Stegostoma tigrinum: one gene and its partners. The protein of the gene in region 1 purifies or fractionates together with the protein of each later gene. This does not show direct contact. Links are inferred from orthologs where the notes say so. Each region holds a gene or a part of one and is shown on either strand. Other genes may lie near its edges.

Evidence for each region.
Region 2: the proteins of dhx9 (region 1) and ELAV-like protein 1 purify together in Homo sapiens (affinity purification with mass spectrometry; 3 studies listed by BioGRID and IntAct, with this or other methods). This does not show direct contact. The link is inferred for Stegostoma tigrinum from reciprocal best matches to the Homo sapiens genes DHX9 and ELAVL1.
Region 3: the proteins of dhx9 (region 1) and raly purify together in Homo sapiens (affinity purification with mass spectrometry; 3 studies listed by BioGRID and IntAct, with this or other methods). This does not show direct contact. The link is inferred for Stegostoma tigrinum from reciprocal best matches to the Homo sapiens genes DHX9 and RALY.
Region 4: the proteins of dhx9 (region 1) and nuclear RNA export factor 1 purify together in Homo sapiens (co-immunoprecipitation; 4 studies listed by BioGRID and IntAct, with this or other methods). This does not show direct contact. The link is inferred for Stegostoma tigrinum from reciprocal best matches to the Homo sapiens genes DHX9 and NXF1.

Annotation. Positions count from the first base shown.
Region 1 is NC_081361.1:44,889,264-44,896,885, forward strand, and holds the start of dhx9 (ATP-dependent RNA helicase A), read left to right. Parts: upstream 1-4,604; 5' UTR 4,605-4,715; intron 4,716-7,622. UniProt on the Homo sapiens protein: Multifunctional ATP-dependent nucleic acid helicase that unwinds DNA and RNA in a 3' to 5' direction and that plays important roles in many processes, such as DNA replication, transcriptional activation, post-transcriptional RNA regulation, mRNA translation and RNA-mediated gene silencing.
Region 2 is NC_081383.1:36,221,469-36,229,201, reverse strand, and holds the start of ELAV-like protein 1, read left to right. Parts: upstream 1-4,714; 5' UTR 4,715-4,873; intron 4,874-7,733. UniProt on the Homo sapiens protein: RNA-binding protein that binds to the 3'-UTR region of mRNAs and increases their stability.
Region 3 is NC_081372.1:7,063,128-7,070,852, reverse strand, and holds the start of raly (RNA-binding protein Raly), read left to right. Parts: upstream 1-4,706; 5' UTR 4,707-4,790; coding exon of another isoform or gene 4,791-4,968; intron 4,969-7,725. UniProt on the Homo sapiens protein: RNA-binding protein that acts as a transcriptional cofactor for cholesterol biosynthetic genes in the liver. Binds the lipid-responsive non-coding RNA LeXis and is required for LeXis-mediated effect on cholesterogenesis.
Region 4 is NC_081395.1:11,825,368-11,832,976, reverse strand, and holds the start of nuclear RNA export factor 1, read left to right. Parts: upstream 1-4,590; 5' UTR 4,591-4,704; coding exon 4,705-4,732; intron 4,733-7,609.

The DNA of each region.
Region 1 (7,622 bases):
ATCAACTTATTCCTCCTCTCTGCTTCCTATTAGACAGCTAATCTTCTGTTCATGCCATAACCTTTGTTGTGGCACCTTATCAAATGTCTGCTGGAAATCTAAGTACAATACATCGCCTGGTTCCCTTTTATCTGCAGCATAAATTGCATCTTTGAAGTACTCCAATAAATTAGTTAAATATGATTTCTCTTTGACAAAAATGTGTTAGAATGAAAGTTATAGTTTCCAGTCCAGTTCTGAAGAATTATTGTATTGAACTCAAGATTTTACCTGTTTCTCCCACCACGGATGTTACCACAACCACTGAGTTTCTCCAGCATTTTCTGATTTTATAAGAGATGCCTACAGCTGGCATGTGGTTCTGATTGGATCTTCGCTGTGTAGATTTTGCTATCACCAACCCTCCTTGTAATGCAGATGTATAGGATTTATTACAGTTAGTAATGCAGGTTTAAACATGAGTAAATCTTCAGCCGAACCCGCAATGTACTTGTGCAATGAGGAAGTTTATTACACAATCATAAGATGCTAGATTACATTAGCTAAGACTAGTAAACTTTGTGACAACGTAAGTAAGACTGTATCAGTTGCAACACAGTAACTAGGTCTATGCTACATGACTGTGGTTTGTAGAACTGACTAATTACAAACTGGAACAATTAACTAACTTATCCCAAAGACAGTCATTTATATCATTGGGTGGCGTCTTTCTTTTTCAAAACTTTCGAGCTAACCCTCTCAGGACAAATGCCCTAATAAAATTCTATACCATTTTTAACAAACAGAACTTGCATTTACATCTGCTTTTGCAGTCACCAGATGTCTCAAACTGCTTTACAATCAGTGAAGTTGTTTCTGAAATATCGTAATGAAAATGCAGTGGCTGATATTTGCTTAGTGATCTCTCTCAAACAGCAATTTGATAAAGACCAGAATTTGTTTTCAGTGCTCACAGAGGTATAAATATTGACCACCCAACCAGGATTATTCCTACTTTTTCTCAAAATAATTTCTTCTACATCCTTCCATCCTTTTCCATCAATAATGAACGGTTCCGCTTCAGAATGCTCAGTATCATTCATGACTCAAGTACTGAAGCAGTCTATTTCCACGTGCAGCATGACCTGGCCGTTATCCAGACTTGAGTATGTAACATTTTTTTCCACACAAGTGCCAAGCATTGACCATCTCAAAACAAGGCAAGGAAATCAAATCGTTGAGTGTTGGTAATTTAAATAACTGGGGACAATGTCCTACACAGTTACAATTGGCCAGAAATTGAACTGCAAAAGCAATTGTTACGATGTGGAGACAAGTCTGAACCAAATCAGTCTTTCCAACTCTATTCACCAGACAGTAAAATTTAACCGTTCGAAATACCCGGACAGATAGTGCAATGGCTCTTAACCAGATTTTTGAATAAAAAATCTCTGACTTTGTGAATAATTAATTCCAGACACCAGTTTTATATCTTAAAATGTACAATAATTTGTGATTAAAAAAGTCATCTAATTGATGTATAAGCTTTTACCCTGAAACATTTGTTCATAGCCTACATCCACACTAAAGGCAGACAGATAAACCAATAGTTAATGGATAAAGAAAATAATGAAACTGTCCTGATGACTTAAATGTTTGATAGTGTTGTTTCATGGACATAAATATGGACTGCCTAGCTGTTTTTTTGGGAACACCGATCATAGCTACCTTTTCAGTTCACTCAGTTAAAGGTAGCTCAGCTTTCTACTCTTTCAGCTTCCATAGTGTGTGGGGGGGGGTTAGTCTGGGAGCTTTCAAATCTTCATTCTGTGTCACTAGCTGCCAAACCCATCTCCCCAGAAAATACATTTTTTAAAAAAATCTTCAACTTTGCCCTGAGAGAATGCCCAACTTTTCCTGAAACCTCAATTACTATTCAGCATCTGCTATCTGCTTGAATACATCATCACTTCCCAGGTACTGAGCAGGTTAATAGCCAAGTTCTGCTATCTGTTTAAACACAATGCTCCTTCTGGGGTCTTTGTGGTGGTAGGAACCCTTTTAATCAAAAGTTATCCTTCAGTTAGTCTCTAGGCCTAACCTCTCAAACAAACAAATCTTAGTAGGTTTGTTCTTTTTCTCTTACCCACAAGCTGTTCCACAAAGGCCACTAGTCATCTTCAGCTCAAAATTTCCAGTTCACAGCTCCAAAGCAAAATTGAGAACAGAACCAACGTAAAACTTATGAATAATCAAGAAGTGCTGGAATACAATATAAATATTGTGGCTACAAGAACAGGTCAGAGGCCAGGAATTCTGCAGTGAATCACTCACTTCCTGTCTCATCAGTAACCTCTTTCCACCGTCTCCAAGTCACAAGTCTAGAGTGTGATAGAATACTCTTCTCTGCTTCACCACAGTTCCAGTATCACTTGAGAAGCTTGACACCATAGAGAACAAAGCAGTCCACTTCACTGGAACCCCATCCATCATGTACAACACTCACCCACCTCACTGCTGATGCAGTGTCAGCAGTGTGCATCTACAAGATGCAGCGCAGTAACTCATCAAATTTCCTTAACAGTACCTTAATCGTAGTTTACTCATCATAATGGACCAAACAGTATAAAATCCAAGCGGACTAGAATAACACCACTTCCTCGGAGGCTCCACTGATAACGTCACCTAGCATGCTGATGAAATGTCTGAACGAGAACAGGCCAGCTCGGCAAGCAAGTTAACAACCTCACCCATCAGAGCTACAGATCTTCGCCAAAAACTTTGCTCTTGCAATGATCCTAACTTGGAACAATATTGTCATTCCTTCACTGTCACTGGGTCATCAACTGATATTCCCTTCTTAACAGTTGTGTGTAACCCCCCTACACCTCAGGAACAGCAAGTTCAAGAAAGCTACTCACCACACTTTCTCTAGGGTAATCTGGGATGAGAAATAAATGCCACCCTAGCCAGTGACACCCATATTCCATCAAGGAATTTAAAAATTCCATCTGAACAGGTAGAAAATCAGTTTTAACATCTCATTCTATGACTGCACCTTCAATACTGAAGCACTCCCTCAGTATTTGGCCCTGGAATATGGGCCTTGATTTTTGTACTCAAGCCCCCAAGTGGAACTAAGTTTTGAAATTTTATGCTTTGGAGGTGGGTGGGCCATCATAGAGGCACTGCTGACCATGATCATCATTAAGATCTCCCTTGTAACATTGCTTGATTCTGGTCCACGTGAGCTCATCTGTTGCTGTTCTGGCCCACCTCTCTTTCCTCTTTTAAGAGACATGTTTAAAAAAAAGTAAAATACTGCAGTTACAGAAAATTTGAAATAAACACAAAAAAATTTTGATATATTCAACAGGCTTCCAGGGAAAGAGATAACATTTCATCAAACCAGGAAAATTCAAAAAGTAAGAAAAGCAAATAAAGGGATAACAGAAAAATAAAACAAATATTTAGATAAGCCTTTGAAATTATACACCGAAATTGTTGAGGTATTTTCATACTGGAAAGGGCCCAATGGAAAGATTCAGTCACACAGCACAGAAACAGATCTTTCACTCTAACTCGTCCATTCTGACCAGTTTTCCCAAACTAAACTAGTTCCATTTGCCTGAATTTGGCTCATTTCCGGACAAACAGGCCCCCTAAACTTTTGCCATTCATGAACCTGTCCAAATGCATTTTAAATGTTGTAATTGTACCCTCCTCTACCACTTACCCCTCAGTTCATTCCCTATATGCAACATACTCCAAGATTAGACTCCTTGAGCTACGTTGGAACAGCAGGAGGCTCATAGACGGTAACACATCACAAGATGGAGATTGAAAATGACTAATGATTGCTAATTTGGTCTCATATGCTTGTGAACTGAACGAAATGTTCCACAAGATTATTTAACCTCGTTCGATTTCCGAGTGTACAAAATTAGAATTGACACAGGCAATCCTATTTCGTCTAAATGGATGGCCTTGGATACTGTTTAAGGGAGATTAGGTAAAAGGGCAAGCGTTTGATCTCCCTGTTTACTTGAAAGACGGGAGGAAAGGGGAAGAGGACGTTTTGGAATGGTCCGCAGGGCAGTTGAAAGGGGAAGATGTGTTACAGCCATGTAACGTTTAATGTGAAAATTTGGGGGAAGACGGAAAAGGAAGCGTGTGTGGCTCTCTGTAGGAAGGGAAAGAGCGGAAATGTGGAAAATATATGGGAGATAGTGGTACAAGAACCCCATTTTCTTGGCCAATTTTTTTTGTTTATCTGAATTAATAGTACTTTCCATGATTGTGCACAATTTCGTTTCATAATATTACTGTGATGCTTTTTCACTTTGCTGAATTAAAAGCGCTCTATAAATGAAAGCAGTTGTTGATTCAGTAGCACCTCACGCCTTCATCCGAGATTGTCTTTGACCAAACCAACTGGTTGGAGGTGGGGGTGGATGTAGGAAGCTGGAGAACAAAACAAAGTTGAGGTAAAACCTAATAAATCTTGGTGTTAGTATTTTAAAATTACAGTAGAAGTACATTACTGAAATGTAAATGATTTCCGGCCTTTACAGCAATTGGTAGTTTGTAAAATGTAAGGAAGGTGTGGAGACTTCTTTTCCCCCGCTTCCTGTGGAAGTTGCTGTCTTTGGGGAAAGGGGGTGACGCCATTTTGTTGTCCCGGATCCCGGGTCGGAGGCCAGCGGCGGTTCGTGGAACCCGGCAGCTGGCTTACGGTGAGTGGCGCCCGGGTTTGATGGCGGGGAAGCGGGTGAGGGATGGCGGAGAGTGGGGTTTGGTGACCGCCGATGATTCCCCCTCCTTTGAGGTGACGGTCTCCGGACTCGTTGCAGACTGTGCGTGATATGGTTGTCAGAGCTTCCGCACAGCGCACTTTGTCACGAGTCACTCATGGTTTCAGGGAATGGCTACCCTTCCAGCACCAACTGTAGAAGTTTAAAATTTTGAGGTTTGGACCTCGAGGGAAGAAATCAGGTTTTGTTTTCGAGTCCAATTTGACTCTTAACAGTCAAATTGGACTCGGACTCGGAACGTGAACTAGGTACCTCCACCACCACCTTTTAACCGTTTCTATTTGTTTTCAGTATACGCAGTCTTTTGTTTGAAGAACACAAGTTTAATTTTGGTAATGCGTGCTAACATAAAATATTCTAATCGGAAACCTCTTTATAAATTAATGTGCTCATGATCATAATGAAAATTCATAATCGTCGCACTCGTTCCTCACCTACTTGTGATGACTTTAAACCAACCATTGGCATTATTATTATGGTAGAATACAGAGAAAATTAGGACTGAATTATATTTAGAGATAATGGGAACTGCAGATGCTGGAGAATTCCAGGATAATAAAATGTGAGGCTGGGTGAACACAGCAGGCCAAGCAGCATCTCAGGAGCACAAAAGCTGACGTTTCGGGCCTAGACCCTTCATCAGAGAGGGGGATGGGGAGAGGGGACTGGAATAAATAGGGAGAGAGGGGGAGGCGGACCGAAGATGGAGAGAAAAGAAGATAGGTGGAGAGAGTATAGGTAGGGAGGGGATAGGTCAGTCCAGGGAAGACGGACAGGTCAAGGAGGTGGGATGAGATTAGTAGGTAGATGGGGGTGCGGCTTGGGGTGGGAGGAAGGGATGGGTGAGAGGAAGAACCGGTTAGGGTGCAGAGACAGGTTGGACTGGTTTTGGGATACAGTGGGGGGAAGAGCTGGGCTGGTTGTGTGGTGCAGTGGGTGGAGGGGGCGAACTGGGCTGGTTTAGGGATGCAGTTGGGGAAGGGGAGATTTTGAAACTGGTGAAGTCCACATTGATACCATTAGGCTGCAGGGTTCCCAGGTGGAATATGAGTTGCTGTTCCTGCAACCTTCGGGTGGCATCATTGTGGCAGTGCAGGAGGCCCATGATGGACATGCCATCTAAAGAATGGGAGGGGGAGTGGAAATGGTTTGCGACTGGGAGGTGCAGTTGTTTGTTGCGAACTGAGCGGTGGTGTTCTGCAAAGCGGTCCCCAAGCCTCCGCTTGGTTTCCCCAATGTAGAGGAAGCCGCACCGGGTACAGTGGATGCAGTATACCACATTGGCAGATGTGCAGGTGAACCTCTGCTTAATGTGGAATGTCATCTTGGGGCCTGGGATAGGGGTGAGGGAGGAGGTGTGGGGGCAAGTGTAGCATTTCCTGCAGTTGCAGGGGAAGGTGCCGGGTGTGGTGGGGTTGGAGGGCAGTGTGGAGCGAACAAGGGAGTCACGGAGAGAGTGGTCTCTCTGGAAAGCAGACAGGGGAGGGGATGGAAAAATGTCTTGGGTGGTGGGGTCGGATTGTAAATGGCGGAAGTGTCGGAGGATGATGCGTTGTATCCGGAGGTTGGTAGGGTGGTGTGTGAGAACGAGGGGGATCCTCTTTGGGCGGTTGTGGCGGGGGCGGGGTGTGAGGGATGTGTAGCGGGAAATACGGGAGACGCGGTCAAGGGCGTTCTCGATCACTGTGGGGGGGAAAGTTGCGGTCCTTGAAGAACTTGGACATCTGGGATGTGCGGGAGTGGAATGTCTTATCGTGGGAGCAGAGGCGGAGGAATTGGGAATAGGGGATCTAATTTTTGCAGGAGGGTGGGTGGGGGGGAGGAGGTGTATTCTAGGTAGCTGTGGGAGTCGGTGGGCTTGAAATGGACATCAGTTCCAAGCTGGTTGCCTGAGACGGAGACTGAGAGGTCCAGAAAGGTGAGGGATGTGCTGGAGATGGCCCAGGTGAACTGAAAGTTGGGGTGGAAGGTGTTGGTGAAGTGGATGAACTGTTCGAGCTCCTCTGGGGAGCAAGAGGCGGCGCCGATACAGTCATCAATGTACCGGAGGAAGAGGTGGGGTTTGGGGCCTGTGTAGGTGCGGAAGAGGGACTGTTCCACGTAACCCTCAAAGAGGCAGGCATAGCTGGGGCCCATGCGGGTGCCCATGGCCACCCCCTTAGTCTGTAGGAAGTGGGAGGAGTCAAAAGAGAAGTTGTTGAGTGTGAGGACGAGTTCAGCTAGGCGGATGAGGGTGTCGGTGGAGGGGGACTGGTCAGGCCTGCGGGACAGGAAGAAGCGGAGGGCCTTGAGGCCATCTGCATGCGGAATGCAGGTGTATAGGGACTGGACGTCCATGGTGAAGATGAGGTGTTGGGGGCCAGGGAATTGGAAGTCCTGGAGGAGGTGGAGGGCGTGGGTGGTGTCACGGACGTAGGTGGGGAGTTCCTGGACCAAAGGGGAGAAAATGGAGTCCAGATAGGTGGAGATGAGTTCGGTGGGGCAGGAGCAGGCTGAGACGATGGGTCGACCAGGGAAGGCAGGTTTGTGGATTTTGGGAAGGAGATAGAAACGGGCCGAGCGGGTTTGGGGAATAATAAGTTTGGAGGCTGTGGGTGGGAGGTCCCCTGAGGTGATGAGGTCATGAATGGACCATTTCCACTCCCGCTCCCATTCTTTAGATGACATATCCATCATGGGCCTCCTGCAGTGCCACAGTGATGCCACCCGAACGTTGCAGGAACAGCAACTCATATTCCGCCTGGGAACCCCGCAGCCTAATGGTATCAATGTGGACTTCACCAGCTTCAAAATCTCCCCTTCCCCAACTGCATCCCTAAACCAGCCCAG
Region 2 (7,733 bases), on another chromosome or scaffold:
TTGTGAATCATTACTTCCACCATGAGCATGTGGGTGAATACACACTGTAGAACTAAACATCAAGTCGGATGGAGGCAATTTATATAGATCATGGTTGATCAGCAACATGACCACCATCTATGCACCATGGTTCCAAAGACGGCCTTCATATCCTCCGATGGCACTGAGCATGGTGACGAAACGTCTGAACGAGAACCAAAATCTGAACTCCATTTTAAAATTTGTAATTGACCTTAACCTAATAATTTGTCTGGCCTTCCATACAAGGATGTAGAATAAGGTAGGTACACTATGCAGGCTCCAAGTCCACTACAACATTAATTATGGCTGATCTGCTTCTATTCCGAATTCCACATTCCTATCTACGCCCAATTATCTTTGATAAAAAAGACAACCTGTGAGAAGTGATTTCAATCAGCTTCCCTGAATAGCCTAGCTGTTATAGATTCTTGTACAGCAAACTATTGGGGATTGAAGACAGCCAAGTCCACAGGGCCTGAGATAACAAGGTGTAGAGCTGGATGAACAGAGCAGCCTTCCTGCTCATCTGATGCTGCTTGGCCTGCTGTGTTCATCCAGCTCTACACCTTGTTATCTCAGATTCTCCAGCATCTGCAGTTCCTACTATATCCTCCACAGGGACTGATGGCCTATATCCTAAGGTCTTAAATGAAGTGGCAGCAGAAACAGTGGATCCATTGTTTATAATATTCCAAAATTCCCTGAATGCAGGAAAGGTTCCAGTGGGTTGTAAAATGCAAATATAATGCCCTTGTTTGAAAAGGGAGACAGGCAGAAAGTAGGAAACTATAAACCAGTTGATTAAACATGTGCCATTTGGAACTGGTTACAATCCATTCATTAATAACAGGATATTTTAAAAATGAATAACATTTGGGACGTCAAAATGCACTCAAGAGTCAGCATGATTTTATTTAGCGTAAATTCTGTTTGACTAATTTGCTAGAGTTCTTTGTTGATGTAACAAGCAAGATAGATAATAGGAATTTATAAGTGTAGAATATCTGGGACTTCCAGAAGGCATTGATAAGGCGCTGCACAAAAGGTTAATCCATGAGATAGGATCACATGAGGCTGAGTAATTTATTAGCTTGGATAGAGGATTGGCTAACCAACATAGCATACGGTGCTGAGGAACAGTCACTGACCCAAAATGGTAATTCTGATTTCTCTTCATAGATGTTGCCAGACCTGCTAAGTTTTTCCTGCAATCTCTATTTTTGTTTCTGATTTACAGTACCTGCAGTTTTTCCACATTTTATTCAGAGGATACATCAGACTTTTTCTGATTTGCAGATGTCTCTAGTGGTATGCACAGATTTTGATCCTTAGGACACAACTATTTACAATCTATATTTGTGACTTAGGTGCAGGGAAACAAAGTACTAGAATGAAATTTGTAGATAACACTAAAAGTGGGAAATATGTTGCAATGAAGTAATAAGAATTTTACAAGTGGAAATCGATAGGTTACATTATGGGTCAAAATTAAGCAGATGAAGTTTAACATGGATAAAAAAGATTACCTATTTTGATTAAAGAAATAGGAAAGCAATTTATCTAAACAGAGAGAGAAACTTCAGAGTGCAGAGGGATCCAAGTGTACTTCTGCAAGAATCCGAGAAAATGAAGATACATGTACCACTGGCGATAAGAAAGGCAAATGGAATTTTGACTTTTGTTACTAAGGAAGTAGAAGAAAAAGTAAAATGTTTGCTGCAACTGTACAAGGTTAGCGAGATAGCACCTGGAGTATTGTATTCAATTTTGGTCCTTTTACATGAGGAGTGATGTAGTTGCATTGGAGGCAGTTCAGAAGAGGTTCACTACATCAATTCTGGGATGAAGTGTTTGTACTATGAAGACAACTTCATCTAAAGTCCAGAGTATATGCCCATAGAACTGCCTACTCACCTCATCTGTCAACTACTGATGTTTTCAAAAAAACTGAGAACATCTTAGTTGGACCTAAGAAAGACAGATCGCTATTTTCTCACTGTTCAGAAAAGGAAAGTGTGGATGAGGAGAAAGAGATTTATGGATGTAAGGATTGGAATGAGGTCAGCCAGCTGGACTGCATGCTTTCCTGGAACTTCCCTGTTTCCTCGCTGGACTTTTGAACACCTTTGAAAATGAGATGGTCACATTGATTGCTTTCCACCATACTCCAAATCTCTTTAAAAATTTCTCAATTTTTGGATGTCATCAGACTCATGTTCACAGTTTCCATTTCCTTTTACCACCTCTTTGGTCTTTCTGTAGATGATAGTCAGCCAGTAAGAGGTAATTGTAAGAAAAGAATACCAGCTTGATGTTAGTGGATCTGGCCATCCATGTGACACAAATGGAAAGTTTATCCTGCAATGGACAGATTCATCTGGCCTTGACCAGATGTATCCAAGCTGCATTCCATCTCCAAGGTTGAAGATGTGCTGCATAAGGCAGCATCTTTTACTGTTTCCATTAGTAGCATGGAGGTGGCTTCAGGACTTTTACATTCAAATAGGATGCCACTTGTTCTACATTGAACCAAGTGCAATGGAGAATCATCCTGAAAAGATATATAGTAATGATTCCAAACACTTCCACATTATGCACACATGTAAATTAAGGATTCACAAATGGCACACCCACAACATACGTACCTGGGGAGAATACAGGATAGGAATCCTTCAATTCGCTGCCCATCTTCTCACTAAGTATTTGTTCTACATTACAATAATTCTAAATTTCAAAAAGTACTTAGTTAATTATAAGGCATTTTGGGGCATTCTGAAGTAATGAAAGAGAATTAAAGCGTGCATATTATGTAGTACTATTCACAAACTTAATGTTCTACAAATTAAATTACCACTTGGAGAGTGGTTGCCATTGTAACATAGTAAAGTTAATAAATAAATTGAATTGTTTCTTTCAGATTTCCATCCTTAATGTAACATACAAAAGCAGTGATGTGATATGAATATCAGAAATATTATTTTTGAAAAATCCCTGAAAAATTATGTATTACTTTGAGTGAGCTCCAACTTTAGCTAGATTGAATTTAAATACAACTTGCCTGAATCTTTGCTTCTGATACATACAGCCTCTCAGCATTTTTAAAGCTATATTAAAAAAAAACCCCTCTACCAAGGATCATCCAAGGAATATTCAATATAATGCACTATTGAAACGATCTGCACAACTGTTGCCAGACAAAACTACTTTTTTGTTTTCACCAAACCCATTATATATTGCTACATCAAGGCTGATAATGAGATCAACATATAAAAACCAAAAGACCTGCGGATGCTGTAAGTCAGGAACAAAACCAGAAGCTGCTGGAAAAGCTCAGTTCTCAGTCCTCAGAACACCGGACCCGAAACGTTAAACTTTGTTTTTGTTCAATCAATATACGTGTTTAATATGCTGTAGTTACACAGTCTTTCTACTATGTGTCTTTACACCCAGTCTGCCACAATTTTCAAGAATGTATCGGCTTTTCGTTAAATCACCCTGAATTGCTGTGGTTGTATTTTCAATGCCAACGGGTACTCTTAACAGCATTCCACCGAAATGGTGATCGCACCGAAGATAAAATGCAGTGATAATGGGAACTGCAGATGCTGGAGAATCCAAGATAACAAAGTGTGGAGCTGGATGAACACAGCAGGCCAAGCAGCATCTCAGGAGCACAAAAGCTGACGTTTCGGGCTCTCTGATGAAGGAAAAATGCACATGCATTATGGGTTTACATCAACAATTATCACTAAATACAGTTAGAGATTTATAAACTAATAAGAAGCTACAGATACAAAAAGTTTTAATAAAGTAAATGAAGTACGAAAACTCCCCTCAAATATCTGTATGAGTGGTCTTAAAACACTTGGGTCCCCCAAAATCTTAAGTTAAACAAAACGCTCAGGTTGGCATCAGTTATATACAACGATCTCCTGGAAGGAACATGGATAATTGCCCAAACTGAACGTGCAGTTCAGAAAGCCTAATACTTATCAACTTTGAAACGTGTCAAGAAATCATTGGTTTACAGATTAGAGATGGATGTTAGGGACTATTATGTCTCGGATAGCAATTCCAAACGTTAAAAATAAAGGGATAACAACTTTGAATGAATAGCAACCTCAGGCTACCTGCAGAGCCAAGTAAAACATTTAAAAGCTCACGCCTAATTTCAATTTACTAAAAGAGATGAAACTGAATGGCGAAGAAACTCAACAAACGTGAACTTCGGGCGATAGAAGTAAAGTTAACCTTCGAAGTCCGGTAAGGCTGACTCTTTGTTTCAGAACTGTGTTGGCTTACATTCATTTAAAAAAATACTTTTCGACAATATGTCGAAGAAAGTTGAGGCAATTTCAGTGATATTTCTATCTGGTTGTCAACACGTGACCATACTAATACTTACTTCAGTAAGATTGAACCGTATCACTCCTAACTTCCAAATAGCCGGGTTTAAACAATTTGATTGACAAACGAACCAGGTTTTCGTGAATCGCCTCTTTCACGACTGGAAGGAAACGCCGTAACAAGATTTCATCGTAGGCCGCTACCCTTTGGGCCAATAGGAATTGTCGATGACCGCAAAGTGTATAACTGACGTTCGTCGTAACCAATGCACTTGAAGAAGTCGTGGAGGCGCGGGTGTGATGGATAAACAGATTATCCAATGGAAGAGGAGGGGGTGGTGCTTCGCTTGCTGGCGGCGCGCGGGGTTGACTTTGTTTGATTTTAACGGATTTTTTTTCCGCCTCTGCGCTTGGCCTGGGCTTTTCCCCTTTCTCAGCTCGAGTCCCGGAAAGACATCAGTGCTGCCGGCACTCTCACCCCGTACCGAGTACGGGGCTCAGACAGAGTGAGTGTGAACTTGTCGAATAAGAAAAATAATATGAGAACTCGACGTGAACTGGGAAACAGGCCCAGGCCATGCGGCACAGGGGCCTATGCTTCTCGAAGTTAGGCCTCGGCTTTGGAGAGATTGGTCACCCCCAGACAGAGGCACTGTTGGCTAGAAGGGTGAAGAGATGGAGTGATGGACGGAAGACCGGGAGTTTTATTATGCCTATTATGAGGAAAATGCGATGGAGACTAGTGGGCTTTCTAGTGGTAGGGAAAAGGAAATCCTAACTCGAGATCGGGGATGTAAACCGGTGGTGTAGGCCCTTTTAAAAAAGAGCGACGGTTGTAAGATGGAAACAGAAGAGGAGGGTGGAGGTCCCCGGTGGATGGGATTTTAGTGTCCTGGCGGCTTCAGCCCACAGAGGGAAAAGGGTGGATGGTGGAATGGGGCCAATGCATTTGTTAGAACAATGCGCTTTGCGCCCGGGCTTTTGTACCCAACAACCTCCAATCACTTCATTGAACAAAGCCCCTTTAAGCACGTATTAATAGCAAAAATAAGTCTTTCAACCGAACGGAAATGTTATATTTATGACCTCAATGTTAGCAATATCTTCTCAAAAACGCTTATTAAACATTTGCCTAAAACCCACACGTCCATTACATAAACTTAAATTTCCAAATGACTGACTTCCCTCTTCGTCCCAGAAATTTTTTTTCAGCAGTTCTTTATTCACCAAATTTCGGGTAAATTATCAATTGATTGCAAATGCGTTGCACACGAATGAATATGTAGATACGGTTGACTTACCAAGTGAAGGTAGTTAAAGCATGCTATGTCTGTTTCTGAGATAACAAGGTGCAGAGCTGGATGAACACAGCAGGCCAAGCAGCATCAGAGGAGCAGGAAGGCTGACGTTTCGGGCCTAGTCCCTTCTTCAGAAATTTCTAGGCCCGAAACCTCAGCCTTCCTGCTCCTCTGATGCTGCTTGGCCTGCTGTGTTTATCCAGCTCTCCACCTTGTTCTCCAGCATCTGCAGTTCCTACTATCTCTATGCCTGTTTCTTGTTCTTTTTAAGGTTTCATCTTTATTTGCAGCTACCCACATTAGCAAATCTGAATGACAATAACACAGTTAATCACATTTGTTCTTCCCAGGAGTCCGTTTTTTTTAATATATAGGGCTGCTTTGAAATGTTGAAGATTCACCAGCTGTATGACACCACTCTTTCCATTGTCTAGCTCAGATTGCCTGATTCAATAATATCATTGATCTAGATTCGTGTTTACTTCGACTCGGATCCATTGGGTTCAACTCATTCATGCCAGCGAGATTGCCTAAACTGATCTAGTCCCATTTGCCAGCATTTAGCCCATATCGCTCTAAGCCTTTCATATTCATGTACCCATCTGGATGCCTTTAAAATACTGTGATTGTACCAGCCTCCACCACTTCTTCTGGCACCTCATCCCATACATGTACCACCCTTTGCATGAAAAAACTGTCCCTCAGGTCCCTTTTATATCTTTCCCCTCCTATCTTAAACCTATGCTGTCTGGTTTTGGACTCCATTTTGCAGTTTCCTAAAAACTGAAAGCATCAAAGATATTAAAGTTGGTGTTTGTAACTCAGCGCATTTCTAAACAACTTCTCCAGAGGATGATAATACAAAACAATTATTATAAAGAACAATGTGTTCAACAAGAGCTTTTTTCAAAATATAACAAGGTTCTATAAACTGAAATGGCAGTATTGGCTAAAGTAGTGGTTGAGTGTAGAATTCAAAATACAGTTGTTGGAAAAGCTCAGAGATAATGGGAACTGCAGATGCTGGAGAATCCAAGATAACAGTGTGAAGCTGGATGAGCACAGCAGGCCAAGCAGCACCTCAGCACCACAAAAGCTGACGTTTCAGGCCTAGATTGAAACGTCAGCTTTTGTGCTCTGAGGTGCTGCTTGCCCTGCTGTGTTCATCCAGCTTCACACTTTATGTTGGAATAGCTCAGCAGGTCTGGCAGCATCTGTGAAGGAAAAAATCAGACTTAACATTTCTGATCTAGTGACCCTTCTCAGAACGCTGTAGAATGTTGATCAATCGCTGGTGCGCCTTACTGAATTGCTTAATATTTGTTTTATTTAATTTTATTTCTGGCAAAGACAATGCATGGCAATGCTTGTGATTAAATAACATACCACACAGCACCAAGACATTTTTGCGAGGGGTCTTGAGTAAAACCATGTTGGAGTGGTAAAGTATAATTTCTGATTGTGGGCCTACTCTTTGATGCATTTGGAGGCTTTTAAATTATGTAGATTATTAATACCAAAGTTGGTTGTATTTTTAAAGGCGTGGAGAGTGCAATCAATTTGCACTTGTACAGTTCCACCTTGAAAATATTAAAGATGATTTATGGGGCAGAAAGAAGTAGTACAATAATATAAAGAGAATGTAGCATCAATGCTAAGAGTTTGGAGTGTGTCAATAAGTGGTAATGATTAAAATAAAATGGAGTATCAGGACAAAGATTTGAAGTGCAGTCTGTTGTAAACATGTTACCATTCTAGATCAGAGAAGGCAGTAGTGGTATGTGTTTGGAGTCCAGGGACGTTCAGGTGATATTTGATCGTGTTTCGCTATTGAAGTGTGGTGTAAGTGTGAGCTTCCAAGAACGGTATTAGAGTGTTTTTCACTTGAATAGTACATAATCAATGGGTTATTACATAAGGTAGCAATTTGCAGCTCCTGTCTGCTCTGGCTGTCCAAATGAGCATGCAGTTGGTGCTGTTATGCTGCTTTTTTTTCCCATAATCCTGCATATTGATCTTTTTCGAACGTTTAATTAAAGTTGCCTCCAGCATATTCTCTGACAGTGTG
Region 3 (7,725 bases), on another chromosome or scaffold:
TGAACCAATCCCCCCGCGATACAGATGTGGTCACTCCTGACCAACTAAACCATTGTTTTATTGATATTTCCCAAGATTTTTTTAAGGCAGAGCAGGCTTAAGAAGTTCAGTGAGTTATCCATGCTCCTTTTTCTCTTACCTCTTTCCATTCAAACTGTCCGAATGAGAGTCTACCCAAAAGGTGAAAGGCACAAGTTAAATCAGAAATTTTAGTAAATACTCAGTAGGTCTTGGGTCCTTTTAATTTCCTCTCTAACTTCTTCACATTCAGATTGTTGCTGTTCTCCATCCTGCTACTCACACCTCTTCAGGGCACATGTTATCTGCCCTAGTTTCATGCCCTTTGGCCTTGGACCTCCAACTCTTTAGTTAATGAGTCTCTCCTACATTCACACGATCACAGACCTCTCATTGACCCCCACGCTTCACCTCCCAAACCACTGTCATCTATCTCTTGCTGAAAACCCATTCCTCCGGCTCCACACTGTGTTGTCTCCAGCATCTGGACTTCTCGCTATCTCTGACTTTCCTAGCTTTTCGCAGTTCTGATGAAAGGTCATTGTCTCAAAATATTAACATTAACTCTCTTCACAGATGAGATCAGTCATGCTGAGTGTTTCCTGCGGTCGTTTCAGATTTCGAACATTCACCTCCACTGGCAGGATATATCTACAGCTACACTCCTGTGCCTGTCAAATGTGACCTTCATTAGGAAAGAGAGAAACAGACTGCTCAGAGGAATACCCGACGATGCTAAACCCAAGCAGGAGTCTGCCACTTGTGATTGTTTGCCACCCCCCCCCCCCCGTATGGGGAATGGGAGCCAAGTGAAGAATTCAGATGGATGGGATGAAGTGATGTGAAAAATTGTTACCAAGAATTTATAAATTGTATCATTTTTGACACAAGTGAGGGCGTCCTTTGTTATGATTTTTCTGTCCATTTCCTGCAGAAATAGGTAAAGCCACCACGGTCCCACTGTCTCATTAGAGAGAGATGATTGTGAGCAGTTGGGGAGGGGGGCACGGTGGCAGTGTTTAACTTGTGGGCCACCGTGCCACAGAACAGGGGCAAGATTGGGAAGGTGAGGAGCTGGATGAACACAGCAGGCCAAGCAGCATCTTGGGAGCAGGAAAGCTGTCGTTTCAGGCCTAGACCCTTCATCAGAATGGGGGAGTAGGAGAGGGTTCTGAAATAAATAGGGAGAGAGGGGGAGGCGGATAGAAGATGGATAGAGGAGAATATAGGTGAACAGGAGACAGGCAAGTTAAAGAGGCGGGGATGGAGCCAGCAAAGGTGAGTGCAGGTGGGGAGTTAGGGAGGGGATAGGTCAGCCCAGGGAGGATGGACAGGTCAAGGGGGCAGGATGAGGTTAGTAGGTAGGAAATGGGGGTGCGGCGACAGGTCAAGTGGGCCCCCATTTCCTACCTTCCTACCAACCAACCTCATCTCGTCCCCTTGACCTGTCCGTCCTCCCTGGACTGACCTATCCCCTCCTTACCTCCCCACCTACATTCACCTTTACTGGCTCCATCCCTGCCTCTTTAACTTGCCTGTCTCCTGTCCACCTATCTTCTCCTCTATCCATCTTCTATCCGCCTCCCCCTCTCTCCCTATTTATTTCAGAATACCTTTCCCCTCCCCCATTTCTGATGAAGGGTCTAGGCCCAAAACATCGGTCTTCCTGCTCCTCTGACGCTGCTTGGCCTGCTGTGTTCATCCAGCTCTACACCTTGTTATCTCAGATTCTCCAGCATCTGCAGTTCCTACTGTCTCTGATACAAGGTTGGGAAGGTAGCACTTTCAATGTAACTTCAGTCAGTGCAAGAACTAAACCCGCTTTGTTAACATCACACTGTAATGTAAACCGGCTGTCCAACTGATGGAGCTAACCAACCTCCCTGACCCTCTCCATTGAAATAGAAACTACTGTAAAAGCTTTTCATTTATCATTCGTTCTCAGGTCGCAGATGAATGGTGTCAAGGTTGACGTGTGTTTTCCAGACCTTATTGTCCTTGAGAACAGGGTGCGGTCAGGTTTGGGAGGAGCCACTGCAGTCTTTTACGGCCTAAGGTACCCTCTATGAGCTGTTAGAGACAGATTGTCAGAATTTTGACCCAGTGACAATGAAAGAACATTCGATGTGTTCTGTCCACGTCAGGAGAAACACAAAAACAATTCAGAGACAGTAGGAACTGCTGATGCTGAAGAATCTGAGATAACAAGGTGTAGAGCTGGCCCAGCAGCATTAGAGGAGCAGGAAGGGTAATGTTTCAGGCCTAGACCTTTCTTCAGAAATGCCCAAAACGTCAGCCTTCCTGCTCTTCTGATGCTGCTTGGCCTGCTGTGTTCATCCAGCTCCACACCTTGTGAACACAAAAACAGTGGTGTTTGCACAAAATGTTCCCACTCATGAAGCGAATGAGAACAAGAGGGCAGGATGCAAATTTGAAGTGGTTTGTAAAAGTGATAAGAAGCAAACCATTTTCACACAATGTGTGCCTGGGCTTTGGAATTCATTGCCTGTGGCAGGCAAGTTCAATCAAAGTACTCACAAGTAATTAGGACTTATATTTGTGAAGGAACAACCAGTAGGGTTCGAGGGAGAAGGTAGGAGGATGGCACTTATTGAGTTGCCAATTTGGAGCGGTGGCACGGAAATGGTGGATCAAATAGTCTCCCTCTGCTCTGTAATAATTCTATAACTGTATAGTTCCATGAACATTGATAATTTTGCCCCTCAGGGTGGAGTTAGAGGTCACAGAAAGAGTGGTGCTATGGAAGTTACCCTGAGGAGTTGCAGCAGTTAGTCAGCAGCTGGCCATCCTGTCTCCATCAGAAAGCCGCACATCCACATTTATAATCTTTGCTCCTCTCTCATCCTGTGGTTCCCTGCAACCCTCTGGGAGTGTTGCTTTCCTCCAATGCCACAGTTCCTGAAGTGTCATCTGTCTGTCATTGGCAGTCAGCTGCCTGGTCTGTAAGATCTGCGATTCCTCCCTAAACCTCTCTTCTTCTCTCTCTCTCCTCCTCGAAGACGTTCTTTCAAACACACATGGTTGTGGTGATGACCAAGTGCTACTGTCACTACACTATTAATCCAGAGGTCTCAGCGATATTTTTGGGACACAGGTTCATAAACACGCCTAGTGGCAGATGGTAGAATTTAAATTCAATAAAAATCTGGAATTATGATTCTAATGATGACGACTTTGAAATTGTTGCTGATTATTGGGGGAAATATAATCTGATCTTTTAGGGAGGAAATCTGCCATCCTTACATTGTCTGACCTACACATGACTTTGCACGCACAGCAATGTGTTTGACTGAACTTCCCTCTAGACACTTATCTGACAATGGCCCAGTTTGGTGACACCCAAATCCTGTAAATATTTACAGATAAGGCTTTGGTCATCTGCCTGAACATTACCTGATGTATCTTGGATACCAGGTCAGGTTTTTGCCTGTGACATTTTAGTGAATGAACTTCCTGAGGAAGTGGCGTGCACAGGTACAGTTACAATACTTAAAAGTCATTTGGTTGAGTACATGAACAGGAAAGGTTTGGAGGGATATGAGTCAAACGTAGGCAAATGGCACTCGTTTAGTTTGGGAACATAATTGGCATGGACTAGTTGGACGGAAGGGTCTGTTTCCTTGCTGTATGACTCTATATAATTGCAACCTTAGAGTGTAGTGTTGCAATGGTAGTGCCTCATCTTTGGGCCAGAAGTTCAGGGTTCAAGTCCCATCTGCTCTGGAGAATTCACAGCAAGCAAAGAATCTTAGCGTGCATCACAAGCAGTAAGTAACTGGAGATAGCACGGTGTGGAGCTGGATGAACACAAGCAGCATCTTAGGAGCAGCAAGGCTGACATTTCGAGCCTGGACCCTTCATCAGAAAAGGGGGAGGCGGAGAGGGTTCTGAAATAAATAGGGACAGAGGGGGAGGCGGATCGAAGATGGATAGAGGAGAAGATAGGTGGAGAGGAGACAGACAAATTAAAGAGGCGGGGATGGAGCCAATAGAGGTGAGTATGGGTGGGGAGGTAGGGAGGGGATAGGTCAGTCCGGGGAGGACGGACAGGTCAAGGGGGCGGGATGAGGTTAGTATGTAGGAGATGGGGGTGGGGCTTGACGTGGGAGGAGGGGATAGGTGGGAGGAAGAACTGGTTAGGGAGGCCAGGATTTGCTTCTGAACTCTGAGAAGCCTTCTCAATGCAAAGTAACTATGTAAACCAGTCACGCTGTAATTACACCTTCCGAACTGTAAAGGCGCTACAGGCTCTTCACCTGGAGAGGGATGGATTATAAACTGTCAGGTTGGCAGTAGGAGTTTCCATATGAATGTGAAAAGGTGAATTTACAATGACATAAAATGAGCAAACAGGCATGAGCTATTTAATTCGCTAGTTATGCTGGACCTTTGGAATTAAATAGAAACGGGGTCAGCTTGTTGGAATCCAAATTAAAATGATGACATTGTATTGTACACAATATTTTAATCGATAGAAACTGGAGGTATTTAATTTTATAATTACTGCTCTGAGCTTCAGAATAAGAAGTGGATGATGGCTCTGAGGCGAGCACACCATTCAGCGCAGAGGGAGGAGAGTGGGATCTGAGGGTGGTGAGGTCTCTCCCAGCCGCATAGCCAGCTAGCTCGCAGAACTCCGGCTGCCCAATGCAGTTTGTACACATTAAGCGGAGGAGCCTGGGTGCTTTCTGTGAGCTTCATCTCCAGGCCGCCGTGTTTCCCTGTGAAGCTCAGGTCTCCCCCGAGCTGAAATGGAAGTGCCGGTTGCTGGTGAATTTCACTGTCTCTCTCTCTCTCTCTCTCTGGCTTGTTATTTCTCTCTCTCCCTCTGTCCCCACCCCCAGTCAGCTTGTTCCTCTCCTTTATCTCATCTCTCACTCTCCCTCTCTCTTTGCCGTTTTTTAACTCCTGAATTTTCTTGTCTCTCTGGTGAGTAATTTTGCTGTCTGTGATGTTTTGAATTTTTTTCTTTTTTTAAAAAAAAGAGAATTTTTCTTTTGTTTTTTTTGCAATTCCTTTTTTAAAGAAAATGATGTGTAGAGACGGGTGTTTGGGGGGGGGGGGAATCAGTGAATGTGTTTATAAAAGAGTAGCTCTTGTCAGACATCAGTGTAAATATGTATGTGTTTTGTGAAAATGAATTTAGGCTCATTAACTGCAATGTTAAAAGAAATTCCACTGCCACACATCTGATTTTCTGTTCATCATGATCAGATGTCACAGGATTTTTAAAAGCTGTCCATTTTTTTCATTTGTCCGTTTTCTTAATGTATTTTTAATCAGTTCTATATTACTAACCCCAGCTCCCCCCTCCTTCTGAAGGCTTAATTACATCCCCACCTCCTGTCTAAACAATCTGTCACTTTGCAATTTGGTTTAAAAATACAATTTTTTTTATTATTTGGGATCTTGTGGTTTTTAGTCTTTTTTTAACCAACAAACCCCTTCTCCCCAAGAAAAAGTTTGTCACTTCTTCCTTGGTTGGCTGTGTTTTGCCAGCTGAATTCTCTCTCTCTTCTCTCTCATTCTTTTTTCTAAATGGTTGCTGTTACCCTATAACGGAGAGCGGGGTTTTGTGGAGAAGGTGATTTTTGTGGAGAGAGAGAGAGAGAGAGAGAGAGGTTTTTCATTGTAGCTCCCTGGTTTGATCTACCGCTTTGTATTTTCAACATGCAGAAAATAAAACTGTCCAAAAACTGACTACTGACTGTTAGCTAGCTAATTATTGCATTTTTAAAAACAAAACCTGAAGTGTTCAGCTGTTTAAAGTTATGAGTGGGAACAAAATATTTGGGGTGGAGTTCAAACAACTGGACAATAAGATTGCATTTTTCCACAGAGAAAGCTCCCTAGCATCATCCTCACTTCTGAAAACATGATTGTGTCTTGAAGACAAGAAATCTATTTCAAAATGTGAAAGGAACTTTCAAATGGGCACAGCCCCTGTGCAGGAAAAATATGTGGCAGTTTTTTTTCTTTAAAGGAATGTTTCTTGTTAAGAAGCACTTGACAGGCTTTGTAAATGGTATTGAAGTGTAAATTGTCAATGTGGAAAGGATAATCTCTCGCTCTTGCTCTCGTGCTCTCGCGCTCTCTCTCTCTCTCTCTCTCTCTCTGGAAGAAAGGTAACAGGTTTGACAGTGATAGGGCAAACATCTAGTAGAGCATTTCCCAACAGAGTGGAGCCTCCCCTCCAGGTCAGAATATCGGAAAACTGTCCCCAACTTTAGTTTCTGAAGGTGTCCTGATTTCTGGTAATGAACTGCTGAGTGATGGGGCTGTTTGCTGTTTGTTGCTACACGAGTCACCATGGCTGGGCCTACTGGGTTGCTGTTGCTACAGGCAACCATACTTAGGGTTCCATTCATACTGTACTAGCGGCTCCTGTGTAAAGCAGTCTGGTTTTGTGTAGACGCTATGACTGAGGCCCAAATCTGAGTTCCCCACCCACCATCTCAAACCCATCGTGGGGGTCCCACCCCAACACTAGAACTGACTGATGGACACCTCTCCGAGTAGCTCAGCTATAAGATCATGAGGCCATTAGACATGGGAACAAAAGTAGGCCAGTCAGCCTGATTCCCCTGCTCGATGAGATCACGGCTGATCTGATCATCCTCAACTCCACTTTGCTGGTTTATCTCCATAACCCTTGATTCCCTTACAGGTTTAAAAAAAATCTGTCTGTCTCAGCCTTGGATATACTCAGTGACCCAGTCTCTAACAGCCCTCTGTGGTAAAGAAATCCATTGATTCATTCTCTTTTTTTTTTCCTGAGAGAAGAAATTCCTTCTCATCTCTGTCATAAATGGGCACCCCCTCATTCTGAGATCATGCCTTCTGAGCCTAGACTCTCCCATAAGGTGAAAATCCTCTTCACATTTTTTCTGTCAGATCCCTAAGAGCCTTTGTGTTTCAATCAGATCGCTCTTCAGTCATCTAAACTCTGAGTACAGGCCCAGTCTATTTAACTTCTCCTCATGAGACAGTCCTTCTATGCCTGAGATTAGCCTACTGAACCTTCTCCGGATTGCCTCCAGTGGCAACATATCTTTCTACAGATCAGGGGCCCCAAACTGTGCATAGTATTCCAGTTGTCGCCTGACTTGTGCCTTGTTTAGTTTCAACAAAATCTCCCTGCTTTTATATATTCCATTCCGTTTGCTTTCCCTATTACCTGCTGAATTTGGATTGCTTTTTTTTTGATTTCGTTCGTGGGATGAGGGCATCGCTGACCAGGCAGCATTGCCCATCCCTAATTGCCCCGAGGGCAGCTTAGAGCCAACCATATTGTAGGCCAGACCAGGTAAGGATGGCAGTTTCCTTCCCCAAAAGGTATTAGTGAACTGGATGGGTTATTCTGACAATGGATTCATGGTCATCACTAGATTCATAATTTCACATATTTAGTTGATTTCAAATTCCACCATCCGCTGTGGTGGGATTCAAACCTGTGTCCCCAGAACATTATCTGGATTAACAATCCAGTGATAATGCCACTAGGCCATTGCCTCGCTTTTGCTTGTAATGATTAATGCCCTGGAATGTTTGAAATTGGGATCTTGATGCCTTTGACAGTTTTAGAGTCAACTTGAGTAAAATTTGGAGTCTGGCCCAGGATTGTGGGGTAGACGTGTTTCTGTGGTTACTATGACCCAGAGATAAATTAAGACTGTTCCTCATGTA
Region 4 (7,609 bases), on another chromosome or scaffold:
CTTCCTTCACCCCCAACACCTCCCCACAGCCCTACGGCACCTTCTCCTGTAACTGGTGAAGGTGCAACACCTGCCCATTTACCTCCTCCCTCCCCAGTATCCAAGGGCCCAAACATACCTCCCAGGTGAAAAAACACTTCACCTGCACTTCCCAGAATTTAGTCTACTGCACTCGCTGCTGACAATGTGGTCTCCTCTACATTGGGGGAACGACGCGCAGACTTGGCGACCGCTTCGCAGAACATCTACATTCTGCTCGCGAAAAAAAACCCTGAACTACCTGTTGCCTGCCACTTTAATGCACCACCCTGCTCCCTGGCCAACATCCCTGTCTCCGGCTTGCTGCAGTGTTCCAACAAAGCCCAGCGCAAGCTGGAAGAACAACACCTCATTTTCCGCTTGGGGACCCTGCAGCCCTCCGGACTCAATACTGAGTTCAATAATTTCAGGGCCTAAACTCTCCCATGTTCCAACCCCCCCACCCCACACACCAGGCCTTGTTACCACACAGCCCGCCACTGCACACCCCCTGTTGTTAGTCACTAACAGTCCCCATTAACAACTACTCACCCTCCCAGCCAGATCGTTAGCAACTCCTTTGCCTGTCCAACTGTCTTTTTCTCTCTCCTTGGGCTCTGTCCTGTCGTTTACTCCCTACCCCACCCACCCACCTCCCTGGTTTCTGTATATAAACTGACATTTTCCCAGTTACCATCAGTTCTGAGGAAGGGTCACCGGACCCGAAATGTTAACTCTGTTTTCTCCTTCACAGGTGCTGCCAGACCTGCTGAGCTTTTCCAGCAACTTTTGTCTTTGTTCCTGATTTACAGCATCCGCAGTTCTTTCAGTTTTAAAATGTGAGGTGAACTTGATTAGGCCACTATTGGAATACTGCATGCAGTTCTGGTCTCCTTGCTATAGGAAAGATGTTGTGAAACTCGAAAGGGTTTGGAAAAGATTGATGAGGATGTTGCCGGGGTTGGAGGGTTTGAGCTACAGTTTGATGCTGAAGAGGCTGGATAAAAACCAAAAGAACTGCGGATACTGTAACTCAGGAACAAAAATAAAGTTGTTGGAAAATCTCAGCAGGTCTGGCAGCACCTGTGAAGGAGAAAACAGAGTTAACATTTCGGGTCCGGTGACCTGATGCTGCCAGACCTGCTGAGCTTTTCCAGCAACTTTGTTTTTATTCCTGAACAGGCTGGGGCTATTTTCCCCGGAGCGTCAGAGATTGAGGGGTGACCTTGTAGAGGTTTATAAAATCATGAGGTGTATCGATAGAATGAATTGCCAAGGTATTTTTCCAGGGTGGGGGAGTGTTGGAGAGAAACACGAGACCAGTGACAAAGACTCAGGAGGCAGGCACAAGGCAGTCTTTATTCTTGTTCAACCAACAACTGGTTAATGCAGGGAGAGGGCCAAGGACTTCCCTGAATCTGGCCTCAGTGTGTGAGAACCCAGTTGTTCTCTTAATCTTTGGCTCAAATCGGAAGAACGATCAATTTCATATTCCAGTGCTCACAGTGAGATAACAGAATTTTGGACATTTTGTGTTATAATAATCATATACAACATTGTTACTGTGTCCCTCCCCTTATTCTATACATTCAATCCTGTGAACCACCTAATCAATGATGGACATTCCTGTTGACAGCCCTAAGATCCCATGGGTCTCATGATGTTTAACAGACATTATAATCTCCAGGCCTTGGGATCTTTCTATTCATTCTATTAATTCACGTTCCAAAGTTACTAGCTATACTCCTTCGAATACATCCCAGACTTGCTTATCTCTAAGGACTGCTTGAATTCTGTTGCCCCTTGTATTCCTTTGCTATCTCCATCAAAATCTGTTACCCACCTTATATTTTCCCATTGTCCTAATTATATAAAAACAAAATACAGAAGACAGTTGGTTCTAACTAACTGCCTTAAGATTTGGAAAATTAATTTCTAATATATAGTTGGTTTAGTGTAAAATTTTATAGCTACCTCTGCTGTGAGCACTCTTTCGCTAATAAGTTGCAAGCAGTTTATTTCATACAGGACATGATGTTGTATACTTGTGCTGATAATTACGTTGGAATCTATCTGTGTGATCATCTGAAGAATCTTTAACTAGAACCTATTTCTTAATATTGTAACAATTTTAAGAAAATAAAACTAATTACTGCTAAATAACTTTCGCTGTTGTTTTCACAGCTGTGTGATGAATTAGGTTGACTGTTTTATGGGCTGAGATTTAGTGTCCTTATTCTGACTGATTCTTTCCTCCTAATGGGATGACATCCTTTCATTAACAAGGCTGGAATCAGTCACTTTTTACAGTTTAATGAACTTGTTTAATGCTACAGTTTTTTACAACCTGCAGTCTCAACGAGTTCATCTGTGTTTGTTACAAATTTTCAAGCTTGCGGCCCTTGACCACCCTCTTATTGAGCTGACCCTGATTGCTGCCTGTACGGGGCCTCCTCCCAACCCCCAAACCCCCTTTCACCTTGGAGTAACCCCTTTTCAAAGGCACCATAGTTTCACTTAAATGCTGGAGCAGGCATTTAATTCTGTTTATCCCCTTATCGGTCATTTTGTGTCTTTCAAATATGAGCAGCCGTGACAGTTAGCCTAAAACTGGAAGTCATAAGTTTAAAGTGAGAGGGGAAGAATGCAAAGGGTGACAACATTTTCACACAGAGGGTGGTGCGTGTATGGAACAAGCTGCCAGAGGAAGGGGTGGAGGCTGGTACAATTACAACATTTAAAAAGCATCTGGATTGGATACATGAAAAGGAGGGGTTTAGAGGGATATGGGCCCAATGCTGGCAAATGGGACTGGATTAATTAAGGATACTGGTTGGCACAGACTAGTTGGACCAAGGGGTCTATTTCCGTGCCATACAACTCTATGGCTCTTTGAGATAGATTTCTGATCACCAGTGGCATACTAGACTGGGTAAATTAACAATGATTGTATTGAACAGTGGGCCAACAAGCTGATTGACCTGCTTCTGTTCCTGTAGATATTTTTGATTTATTTTCCATAAAATGATATAAAGCCAATTTCAATAAAACAAAGAACGGTGGATGCTGGAGATCTGAAACAAAACACTGGTGGAGAAGCTTAGCAGGCCTGGGGATAAGAGTGAATGATTTTGCATCCATTATGACTCTTCGGAACAAAAATACATTTATCCTGTTTCTAGGATAAATCCCCTCACACTAACTCCACCCCCCCTCCACTCCTTCCCCCTAAACACAACCCCGACTCTGTTACTCATAACCCCACCGCCTGCCTTCCCGTAGCTCTATGCTCATTCCCTTCCCCTAATTTTTTGGAACAAACACAGAAGTTGCTGGAAAAGCTCAGCAAGTCTGACAGCATCTGTGAAGAAAGAAAAATCAGAGTTAACATTTTGGGTATGGTGACCCTTCCTCAGAACTGTTCTGATCTGAGGAAGAGTCATTGGACCCGAAACATTAACTTTGAATTTTTTCTTCACAGATGCTTTTCTAGTAAGTTCTGTTTTTATTCCTGATTTACAGCATCCATAGTCCTTGAGGACCCTTTTTTTTGGATTTGATTGCCCTGGGGGCCCCCTTCCTGCAGGAGGACTACTTTTTGGAGCTCATTCAGTTTTACTGACACCAATTTAACATTAATTTATTCAGTACTTTAACCATTTATACACTTTATTCTGTAATTCACCGGAACCTGGCAACATCATCCACTTTTCACCCTACCTGGGTACAAGTGACAATGTTAAATACGTCTGTGAGATAATAGATTCAAGTGCTCACAATCACAAAGTCTTGGAAACAAGTTACTTGCACTTTATTACGAGTCTGCAGAATCGGGTGCCTCCCATTGCCTGAGACACACACAGGTCAGGGAGTCGCCTCTTTTTATACATCATTTTATCCATCTATGTCCTCCACTTTCGGCTCTGTCCAATCTGAGCTCCAAGGTGCACAATCTTCCCATGTCGTCCCTTGTCCCACCCTCATCATACATTGCATGTTATGTTAATTAAGCAGTCTCGTAAGCATGGGTGTGAAAGTTAATATGCATTGTCTTATTAAGCATGCGCTTCAACTATGTCTATGGTGCAAAGCAAAACTTAGCAGTTTGGGTCCAGTTCATTCTGGTTTCTAACTGCTTGGCCTTCACTCCCTTATCTTATCACTCAGCTCAGTACCAGATGTCTTTGTTTAAAGCTGCAGTTAACTCATCCCTGTCTCTCACACGTCCAACCTAACCCCATCAGCAGCATAGACACATCTCTTCTCCTAACTCCACTTCCGGGTCCCCAAGCCCCGCCCCAAAGCGCTTGAAGCCAGCCCCGCCCCGCCTCCCTGTGACGTCAGGGAGCACCAAGCGACGCCAGTGATCTGGTGGACGCGCACGCGCGGTCGTTGCGGCGCCGTGGAGCGCGCACGCGCGTCGGACCGATTGTCCGTGGGTGAGGCGCCATCGCACATTCCTGTCAGAGCGGGCGGTCACACACAGACACACTACCGGGGGCGGGGTGTCCGTTAGAGCCTTAATCCCACAGAGCGACCAACACAAAACGGAGCCAACCAGCAGGACATCCCACGGTATCTTCTTTCTGCCTCCCCGCCCCCCCGCTCGGGTGTCATCCCCTGAGGAGCTCGGAGGGGAGAAACGGAGATTACTGACCGGATCCAGAGGAGGGAGACGAACGGGACATGTCGGAGGACGGGCGGCACTACAGCGGTAAGGAACGAGGCGGTTTAACGGACAAAGGTTCGACGCGTCTGACAGACAGACAGACAGACAGGCCGGGGGTGGTGGGGGTGGGGGAGAAGGTGGAGGCCTGGCGTTAGGCCTTAGAGTACAGGGTTGCACTTTGTATCCCATCGCCCCCCCCACCCCCCCAAACACCAAACCTGCCCCATCACCCCCCCCCACACACACCAAACCTTCCCCATCACCCCCCAAAACATACCAAACCTTTCCCATCACCCCCCAAAACATACCAAACCTTTCCCATCACCCCCCAAAACATACCAAACCTTCCCCATCACCCCCCAAAACATACCAAACCTTTCCCATCACCCCCCAAAACATACCAAACCTGCCCCATCACTCCCCCCACACACACCAAACCTTCCCCATCACCCCCCAAAACATACCAAACCTTCCCCATCACCCCCCAAAACATACCAAACCTTCCCCATCACCCCCCCAAAACACCAAACCTTCCCCATCACCCCCCCAAAACACCAAACCTTCCCCATCACCCCCCCCCAAAACACCAAACCTTCCCCATCACCCCCCCAAACATACCAAACCCCCCCCATCACCCCCCAAACACCAAACCTTCCCCATCACCCCCCCCCAAAACATACCAAACCTTCCCCATCACCCCCCCCAAAACATACCAAACCTTCCCCATCACCCCCCCAAAACATCAAACCTTCCCCATCACCCCCCCCAAAACACCAAACCTTCCCCATCACCCCCCCAAAACACCAAACCTTCCCCATCACCCCCCAAAACATACCAAACCTTCCCCATCACCCCCCAAAACATACCAAACCTTCCCCATCACCCCCACACACACACCGAACCCTCACCGCCCCCCCAAACGCTCCGAACCCTCACCGCCCCACCCCCCCAGATGCACCGAACCCTCACCGCCCCACCCCCCCAGATGCACTGAACCCTCACCGCCCCACCCCCCCAGATGCACTGAACCCTCACCGCCCCCCCCCCAACCGCTCCAAACCCTCACCGCCCCCCCCAGATGCACTGTACCCTCACCGCCCCCCCCAAACGCTCCGAACCCTCACCGCCCCCCCCGATGCACCGAACCCTCACCGCCCCCCCAACACACCGAACCCTCACCGCGCCCCCCCCCACAAACGCACCGAACCTTCACCACCCTCCTCCCCCCCCACCATCCCCTGCGCTTCTCTTCCCCTGCCCCCCAAGCCCACGCTTTTCTACTACCCCCCACCACCATGCTGGCTCTTCTATTCCCGCCCCCTTCCACACCCTGTTTTGTCTCCCCATTGCCCCCACCCACATATCTTCTCCCCCCTCCCCCCCCCACACACTCCCTCTGTGTTCTGCAAAATCCTCCTCCCCCATGGTCTGCTACCCCACCCCCGCCCCCGCCCCCACGGTCTGTTCCCCAACCCCTGTGGTCTGCCACCACTCTTCTCCTGCATTCCGCCACCCCTCCCTCTTGTGCCTCTGACTCCGCTCCCCTCGCTTTTTGCTCCCTTGGCCGCCCACTCACAGCACTTGTCTTCCCACCCCACAACCCCTTGCACGCACTCCCCCATCCCGTCCCTTGCTGTGACCCCTCTTCCCCCAACCTGCTTGACGACTCACTGGCCTAGAATCTTAGTTGCATTCTAAGATGTCAGTGACTTAACAGCTGTGCAATCGTGTCAATATTCACTACTAAATTTTGGTGTGTAACTTACACTAATTTCATGTGGTGAAATTTTTCAACTGCTACTGTTGGCTCAACAGTAGAGATATCAGGCAATGTCTGAGGACATTGTCAGGAAGCTGTAAAGCATGGCAGAGTGCATGAAGGTTGCTCTTGTGATCTTTGTGCTTTGTCAGAGATTGTAGGTGTTACCACCTCCATCAGTGAGCTTGTGGTCTTGCAGATTTCAGTGGTACTGATTAGCAGCCTGACTTGTGTTGTTGGATAGTATTGAGTCTTCTGAATGTTGGTGCTTCACCTATCACCTCTAGTTCTGCAGTGTTCTGAATTTGAGCCCTTTCAGTTCTGGTCTCTTGATCACCCCTGATTTCCATGGTGCACCATTGTTCATCACGCCTTCAGATGCGTGGGTCCTAAGCTCTGTAATTCCTTCCTTCCCTCTTCTGTCATCCAAGTTCATTCTCAACTCTTAGGCCAAGGTTTTGGGTCATCTGCTTAAATATCTCCTCATACAGGCTGGCATCACCTGAATTTTTCTGACACACTCTGTCACACAGCACCTTATGTTTTTATAATGTAAAAGGCCCCATAGAATTAAGTTCTGGTTGAAAAGACGAAAAGAAAAGCCCGTCCAAATGCAGTCAAATACTTCCCAAAGCAAGATCTGTCTGATTGACATCTTGCACCAGCAAATGCATAATTAAACCTGAGGAGAGAGTGAAGGAGCTTCATTCTAAGATTGAGATAACAAAGTATAGAGCTGGATAAACACAGTAGGCCAAGCAGCATCAGAGGAGCAGGAAAGCTGACGTTTCGGGTCTAGGCCCTTCAGAAATCTTCAGAAACTGGCCTAGAATCAACTAGACCGGAAACGTCAGCTTTCCTGCTCCTCGGATGCTGCTTGGCCAGCTGTGTTCATCCAGCTCTACTCCTTGTTATCTCGGATTCTCCAGCATCGGCAGTTCCTGCTATCTCTGTAACCATTCTAAGATTGATCTTTTGAAGATTGAACTTTCCTGGAAATTCCCACAGTTCTCCTCAGTGTCTGCTATCACCCATACACTTACACTGAAACCATATACATTAAAAGAATGCTGTTCACTGAAGTTCAGTACCTCCTGCAATTTACTTAAACTTCTGAAGTTGGCAGGATTTCAGAATTCTGACTTGGGTCCCTGCTCCACCTT